Callithrix jacchus: one gene and its partner. The protein of the gene in region 1 purifies or fractionates together with the protein of each later gene. This does not show direct contact. Links are inferred from orthologs where the notes say so. Each region holds a gene or a part of one and is shown in the gene's direction. Other genes may lie near its edges. The genes, in order: CIAO2A and IREB2.

What was found.
Region 2: the proteins of CIAO2A (region 1) and IREB2 purify together in Homo sapiens (affinity purification with mass spectrometry; 3 studies listed by BioGRID and IntAct, with this or other methods). This does not show direct contact. The link is inferred for Callithrix jacchus from reciprocal best matches to the Homo sapiens genes CIAO2A and IREB2.

What each region holds. Positions count from the first base shown.
Region 1 is NC_133509.1:10,897,019-10,901,566, reverse strand, and holds the start of CIAO2A (cytosolic iron-sulfur assembly component 2A), read left to right. Parts: upstream 1-1,433; 5' UTR 1,434-1,615; coding exon 1,616-1,739; intron 1,740-4,548. UniProt on the Homo sapiens protein: Component of the cytosolic iron-sulfur protein assembly (CIA) complex, a multiprotein complex that mediates the incorporation of iron-sulfur cluster into extramitochondrial Fe/S proteins.
Region 2 is NC_133509.1:25,860,853-25,864,667, forward strand, and holds part of IREB2 (iron-responsive element-binding protein 2), read left to right. Parts: intron 1-2,197; coding exon 2,198-2,383; intron 2,384-3,105; coding exon 3,106-3,216; 3' UTR 3,217-3,815. UniProt on the Homo sapiens protein: RNA-binding protein that binds to iron-responsive elements (IRES), which are stem-loop structures found in the 5'-UTR of ferritin, and delta aminolevulinic acid synthase mRNAs, and in the 3'-UTR of transferrin receptor mRNA.

The sequences.
Region 1 (4,548 bases):
TCACTAAAACCTTTGAAAACCTCTACGTGCCATCAATCCATGCCAAGCACAGTGCCCTCACAGAGAGTGTATAAATTATTTCGATTGAGGTCTGTGAACAAGACTGCAAGAAAGTTTCACCACTTATTCCTTGGGCAACATTCAGTTAATTCGGTAATATAGATATTGAGCATCTATTGTGTGCCTGGCACCTTAGTTTCAGATACAGAAATAAGCTCCCGGCCCACTAGGTGCTTACAACTTACTAAGGGAGAAAGTTATGTAAATCGACAATTCAACATGTTCAATGCTATGATGTGCTCTGGGAGCACAGGGAAAAGAGATAATCAACTCTGGAGAATTCATAAGGCCTAACAGAGGAAGTGAGACCTCAGTGTATTAGATGTGGCTGGAAAAATATTAGGATTATCCTCTCAATTGCTGTGGAGTAACTGGAGTGAAATAGACGGCAGGGAAATTATTAAACCCTGACCAAAATTTCCCTGGGACCTAAGCTGTTCATTGGTGATTCAAAAGCCTACATCAACTAGACATGACTGGAGTTTAAAGATAAATAGGCATGTTAGGAGGGGGCAATTCGGCAAGATAATCCTATCTTCTCAATAGAGATGGCATTTGTCACCAACTTCGACAAGAGGTTTAGTGAGTTTGTTTGTAACTGCCAATTCAGGGATGGGCTCCCTCACAGGTCAGGGGAGCTGTTTATCTTTGTATCTTCCATGCCTATGGATCACTCCTGGCAAATTAGTACCTATAACTTTGATCGGAGGGATGGGTGGATAAAACAAAATCATCGATTTTGTTACTGGCATCCATGACACCCTCGAACACCAGAGGGCTTAAGATAACACTTTTAAGGATGGCGATCTCCATTATGTCACAACTGTATGCATTAGACACAGGAAACGTTCTCCTGCTCTAAGTTGTTTTTGAAGGCCATTAACAGAAATATTCGTTCCAAGGTGGGAAGCTGTGCTGGACTGAATCCCTTAGGAGACAAGAAAGCCAAAAAGCCCTCCGCATGCCATGCCTGACTACCTTACAGGCTTCCCATGACATCCCTTTTCAGAGCAACTGACACCCACTTCCTGTCCGATCAGGAAGTAAGAAAGATTTTGGCTGTTAGCGTAGAATAACTGTAGAGTCTCCGTGCTGAAAACCTCTTCCAGCACTAGAACTCAAGATCTCCTTTCCCCTACCTCTTCGGGATTTATCTTTAGCTTATCACAGATGCTGAATGAGATAATCAGTGGCAGTTAACAGACCGTTACATTCCCTTCTGCCCGCCGGACACTACAAGTCCCAGAATACAGTTCGCTGCCTTCCAAAGAAAATAGCTCACCCATCCCAGCATGCAATGCGCTAACAAGCCGCGAAGATTTTTTTCTCGTCCCGCCGAAACAGAGCAAAGCATTCTGGGACTTGTAGCCCTTGAGACGCCTTTCCGTAGGTCCTCCAAGTTACTCCGTGTCCGGTCCCGCCTATTCTCTGCTCCCCTTAACGTTTAGGCTCGTCTCGGCCCACTTGAAGACCAGGAAGTTGATCAATCCCGTGGACGGCTGCTGAGAGACGGTGGCGCGAGTGAGACAGTCGCCAGGGATGGCTGAGCGTGAGGATGCAGCGGGTGTCTGGGCTGCTCTCCTGGACGCTGAACAGAGTCCTGTGGCTCTCGGGACTCTCTGAGCCGGGAGCTGCCCGGCAGCTCCGGATCATGGAAGAGAAAGCGCTAGAGGTTTATGGTAATTAATTTTACCCAGCACAGCATTTGGCGTTATAGGTGCCGGCGGGAGGTGGGGGGTGCGGGGATGACGGCCTCACTTGAGGGCTGGGAGGGGAGACTTGTTGTGTGTGTGTGTGTGTGTGTGTGTGTGTGTGTGTCTGTCATGTCCGGACGGGGTCCTAAGTCACGCGGGAGTGTGTGTGTGTTGTGTGCCACATCTTGTCCGGAGCGTAGCAAGCGCTTTCTTCGGGGTCCTAAGTCACGCGGGAGTGTGGGTCTTTTAGGAACTGGGCTCTCCGTAAACCTGGGGCAAGCAGACCCTGGAGGTCTTAAATGCTTAATTCTCCACGTGTGGCCTACGTCTTAGAGACTATTCCAAGACTTGTGGGCAGAGCACAAGTCTAGGGTGTTTGGTTAGGAAGCAAAGCTGGCCTGATTGCACTACTAGAACTTCCTCTAGCTCCTGGACACGCACTCCTGCTACCACTGAGGGCACTGGTGGGTGACAGTTGAGTTGGGGACTGGCCCAAGGTCACAGCCACTCTGGCAAAGTCAGTAAACAGAGGTCCCCAGAAGAAGAGAACAAGATTGGCTTCTTGTAGCAAGGCCTTGTATATACACTCTTCCATGTTATATATTAAATATTTTCTATTTAGCCTTTGGGTCCATCTTTATTGTACAAATGAGGAAACAAAGGCTTAACTACCTAGAGGTCACACTGTCTGTAAGGAACAGAGCAAAAACTAAAGGCTATGCCTTCTGCTTCTAAACTTGATGTACTTTCCACCACTTCACAATTGCCTTGCAACTTTTAAAAAAAATTATTTTGTATTGTTTTTGAAAACCAAAAAGACCGGATATAATATTGAGAGATCTAACTGTAGAATACAAATATAATTCAACTATGAGAGCCAGAAAATTCCTTTTCAGAAAACTCTTGTTTCCCTAAATCCCATGATGACACAACTCTATGAAAGAGAAGCTTTATCCTCTTTCTTGCCTATGTTTCCAAATTGTTTCTTTTTTTTGAGACGGTCTCTTCCATCATCCAGGCTGGAGTGCAGTGACACAGTCTTGGCTCACTGCAGCCTCAGCCTCCCGGGTTCAAGTGATTCTCCTACCTCAGCCTCCTGAGTAGCTGGGATTACAGGCACGTGCCACCACACCGGCTAATTTTTATATTTTTAGTAAAGACAGGTTTTTGCTATGTTGGCCAAGCTGGTCCCAAACTCCTGACCACAGGTGACGCACTTGTTCAGCCTGCCAAAGTGTTGGGATTACAGGCGTGAGCTACCGTCCTTGGCAAAATTCTGTTTCTAATCAAGTGACAAACACAGGAGAAAATTAAAGACAAAATAGAGTTTGTTTTTGTTTTTCCCAGTTGCATTTCTGATTGTATATAATTTTGTGTGATAAATAATAGAACAAAACTTCAGATTATAGAACCTCAAGCACATTCTATGTAAAATTCTGCTTCTTTCCTTTCTACTTCACCATTTCTCTTTTTTTTTTTTTTTTTGAGACGAAGTCTCGTGGTCGCAGCTCACTGCAACAACCTCTGCCTCCCAGGTTCAAGCAATTCTTCTGCTTCAGCCTCCCGAGTAGCTGGGACTACAGGCATGTGCAACCATGCCCAGCTAATTTTTGTATCTTTAGTAGAGATGGGGTTTCACCATGTTGGCCAGGATGGTCTCGATCTCTTGACCTCATTATCTGCCCGCCTCAGCCTCCCATCACCATTTCTCTTTATTGTTCTCTTTTCCTTTATCTCTTTCTCCAGCCTCAGAGTAAGAAGGAAATCCTATCTTCTCCAAGGCCAACCTAGACTCCTACGTAATTAATCCCATCCCCTTCTGCTTATTTACAAGTCTCCTCTCCTCCCCACTTATATATGCAATTTCTCTCCTCAAAGTTTCCTTTATCCTTGTCGTTGTTCTAGGTTCCTTATAAAGCCACTGTCCTTTCCCTGTTCCTCCCTTCCCAGCCAAGGCCCTAGGAAGACATTTTCAGTTCCCACTTGCTTCCCCTTTTGCAAGGTGGCTTCAGCCCTCCCCCTCTCTACTGAAATTGTTTTCTTACAGCTGACAGGGTGACAAATGAAAGCCCTGTTTTAGCTGTCATCAGCCTGACTTTTTCTGCAGCATTTGATAGTATTAACCATCCCTCTCTTCCCTTCTCCAGTTCTTTTTGCATTTATTTCTCATTCTGATCCCTAAATTAGGTGCTTTGCATGGATCTGTCGGGTCTGTTTTTCTTTATACCACTTATTCTCACCCTGGGTTGCACCTAAGAACAACCTGAGGAATTTTTTTTTTTTTTTTTTTTTTTTGAGACGGAGTTTTGCTCTTGTTACCCAGACTGGAGTGTAATGGCATGATCTCGGCTCATGGCAACCTCTGCCTTCTGGGTTCAAGCAATTCTCCTGCCTCAGCCTCCCGAGTAGCTGGGACTACAGGCGCGCACCACCATGCCCAGCTAATTTTTGTATTTCTAGTAGAGACGGGTTTTCACCTTGTTGACCAGGATGGTCTCGATCTCTTGACCTCGTGATCCACCCACCTCGGCCTCCCAAAGTGCTGGGATTATAGGCGTGAGCCACCGCGCCCGGCCAACCTGAGGAATTTTTAAAACTCAAAGGCCAGCAAACCAATTAAATCAGAGTCTCTGGAATTGGGGCCCAGGCATTAGTTTCTTTCCTTCCTTCCTTCCTTCCTTCCTTCCTTCCTTCCTTCCTTCCTTCCTTCCTTCCTTCCTTCCTTCTTTCTTTTCTTTTCTTTCTCTCTCTCTCTTTCTTTCTTTCTTTCTTTCTTTCTTTCTTTCTTTCTTTC
Region 2 (3,815 bases), about 15 Mb from region 1:
AATAGAAGATTGTGGTGCCTGGCTGTCTGCTAGGAGAACAGTTCTCCTGAGACTGTTTCCTTGAGGCCATCTGCTGGGAAAAATAGTCATTTGACATGTGCTTTCTGCTATTTCATACTCACAAGTGCTTCTCTTTACAATTGTAGCTATTAAAAGGCTGGCTGCAACACAGATATCATGTAGACCTCACTCTTACTTTAACCTTTAATTTCTCCTTTAAAATTATAAATACTCTGAGGGGTATGGGAATAAACCAAAATCACAGCCTTCTAACATACTAATTATAAGTATTATTTATGAGTATTAATGGTAGGTATAGGTTCCTTTTATCCTGGAAATTGTCATAGTCTTTGTTTCTGATGTTGGAAGCTTTCCGCATATGGCAGGTAATGCTTGGCTGTCCATTTGTTAGACATTAAAAAAAAATGATTACAAGCTGTGGATGGGAGCTGGATTTGTCAGTTAGTGGACCTTACTATAGGTGATAGGTAGATAAGCTGCCTTTTTCATTAAGAGATTCTGTATGTCATTATCTGTATTTTCTCTGAGGCTGTTCAGCTTCTTCAAGGAAAGAGACTCATTCAGGATGTAGACTTCTACTTAGTCCTGTTTTCGGTGTCGTATTCTCAAGCTTCCCCTCTGCCCAGTGATTGTCAGTCTAGAGAATGTATTCTCTTCGTTATTTCCGCTATCACAAAAAAATAAGTAAAAAAAAATTTTTTTAAAGGGGTGATGGCACTCCCAAGGAACAAAAGTTGGTTCTTAGGTGGTAAAAAAAAAAGTTTTACTTTTTACATATAAAATACAGACAAATATAGAGTACATAAAAAGATACGTGGCATCTTAGTGGTATTAAACTTTTGGAGAGAAGGGGGTGAACAGGAAGACACTATTATGGAAAAATGTCTAAAAAGGCTTTTTAGGTAGACAGTGGAGAAAAAAGTTGAAAAACAGAAGTCTAGAGCCTTTGGCTCATTTTTTCCAGAGAATAAACCTCTATTCTTCTGGAGTGGGGATTGAGCTGGATCTTACTGCTTTATGTGGCCTTATAACCTGTATCCCCCCAGTATTCTGAGAACCTCATACCTCTGAATCTCAGTCCTTTTCCTGGGTCCTGCATTGCACATTAACTCAGACCTTATTGGCGTTGCTCCCTAATTTCATTTCATCATTCTCTAGTTTCAACATTGTCATCCAAATCAGTTACCTGTCTTCTAAATATTCATAGAATTCACTCATTCTATTCCCTTTGTTGCTCTGGGCTTATACCCTCTTTATTATTGTTGTTATTTATTTATATATATTTTTGGAGACATAGTCTCACTCTGTTGCCCAGGCTAGAATGCAGTGGCATGATCTCACCTCCCTGCAACCTCCACCTACCAAGCTCAAGCAATTCTCCTGCCTCAGCCTTCCCAGTAACTGGGATTATAGATTATTTTTCTGAATTTCTGAATTTTTATGGAGCTCCCTAAAATATTCTGACCTCCCCTCCGCTGCTACCACATCCAGCTAATTTTTGTGGTTTTAGTAGAGACTGGGTTTCACCATGTTGGCCAGGCTGGTCTCAAACTCCTGGCCTCAAGTGATCTGCCCACCTTGGCTTTCCAAAGTGCTGGGATTGCAGGTTTGAGACACTGCATCCAGCCTATTGTTATTTTTTAATTTTATTTATTTATTTATTTTTATTTTTTGTAGAGACAAGGTCTCAGTATATTTCCCAGGCTGATCTCAAACTCCTAGCCTCAGCCTCCAAAGTGTTGGGATTATAACCATATAAGCCACTGCACCTGGCCCCATATACCTTCTTTATTCCTTTATTTCAGTTTCATTTCAAGAGTGTTGAATGTTTCATCTGCTGTGTTTAAGTAGAAATTCTCCTGAGCCCTATTTTAGGGTCAAAGGAGCCAGCCCATTTACAGAGCTCTTATGATGTGGTAAGCAGCGGTAGTACCTAACCCTAGAGCAGTGGAGGGGGTCAGAATAATTTAGGGCGCTCCATAAAAATTCAGAAATTCAGAAAAATAATCTATAAAAAGCTTCTGTAAATACTTTGATAGAACATTGATTGAATATGAGGTATTAGACTAAAAGTGTTTAGAGAAAGGCCAGAGTAGATTTTTCTCCCCCTTTAAATGCTCAGTAAATAACTTTCAGAAGGAAAGTTATGGAGGAAATAAATGCACATTTGTTACAGGGTGTGAAAGCTGTTTTGGCTGAAAGTTATGAAAAAATACACAAAGATCATTTGATTGGAATTGGCATAGCTCCACTTCAGTTCCTTCCAGGAGAAAATGCAGATTCCTTGGGCCTCTCCGGTAGAGAAACATTTTCTTTAACATTTCCTGAAGAACTGGCTCCTGGAATTACATTGAATATACAGGTATCTCTAAAATTTTCAAATATGATTATGCACTCTACTCAGATGTTTATGAATTGATTAAGAATCAATTGCTGTAAATTATATACTAATGTCACTTAGAGAATGTTAAGTTGCCATTTAAAATGACTCTTTCCTTCATACTTAGATCTATGTTAATAATAGTTGGTGTTCTCTGAGGAAAAGTGGAAAGAACTAGATGCTTACACCAGAAAAAAAGAATACGTGGAGGGTAATCTTGACTTCCGCTTAACAAGTGTCAGCTTCCTTTTCATGGTTTTCAGTTTTTGCTGTCCTGATCTAATTTTAACCCAGGTATATATACCACTCCAAAGAGAAGGCAAAGTTGAACTTACAAGGGTAGAGCAGCACAGACTTTACAACTAAGAAAAAAAGGGAAAAGAGTAGGAGTTACTCATTATAGGCAGTGGATATTTGGTGTAAAACAAATATGAGTAGTGAGTATAACTTCCCCAATTAATAAGTCAAAATCTAACTGCAACTGTTTTTCTACTTAGCTATGAAGCCCATGGTCAGGTATCTCAGGTGTTTTTCAAGCAGCAGAAAAGTTTCAGGCAATCAGAATATAGGAAATTAGAACCAGGAGAAATCAGACAGACTATGGGGCAAGTATAGTCATTGAATGTGAAGACAGATGGTCTTAACCATCGAGTAGCACCTGGAAGATTTACGTGCTCACTTAAGATGTTTTTGTTTCTTTAAAGACAAGCACTGGAAAAGTATTCAGCGTGATTGCTTCGTTTGAAAATGATGTGGAAATAACATTATACAAACATGGAGGATTATTAAACTTTGTGGCACGAAAATTCTCATAGTATCTACTTACCATGGATACCTTTCATAACTGGTAACTGCAAAGCCTTTTGTGCTGGACCCAGGAATCCTTACCATGGAGCTGCAGATAGTCCCAGTATACTCACTTCTCTCATCCATGGATGTACATGATGATGAATCAACGTAGTGACTGAAAAGAAATCTTCTTGATTTTAAATAATTTACGAATGGTGCTATTAACATTGCTAAAATCAACGTGTGAAGTGTGTTGTGGAAGAGACCTGTAAGTATGGGGGGGGATATTTTATCAGACCATTTTGTAAATAAAGGCAGAATTCGTGTTGAAGATTCTTATATGAGTAACCTTCCTGGAGTTGTTTAGTTTTGCACCTATAAAACTGTGTACTACTGTTTGTTGGTTTAAGAGTAGCAGACTGAAATATAAGAAGCCAGATTAGACTCTAAAATTGTGGTTATTGGACTCTGATTTGTAAGTGGACCTTGAAAGTATATTAATTCCTTTTCAGAACTGAGCTGGACATATTTGGCATTCTTAGTTTGTCATATACCAGGTTTATCCTTAGTTACACTGCAAGGGATAGAACCTGCCCCAAGTCACAATCATTCTGTCCAATCCAGC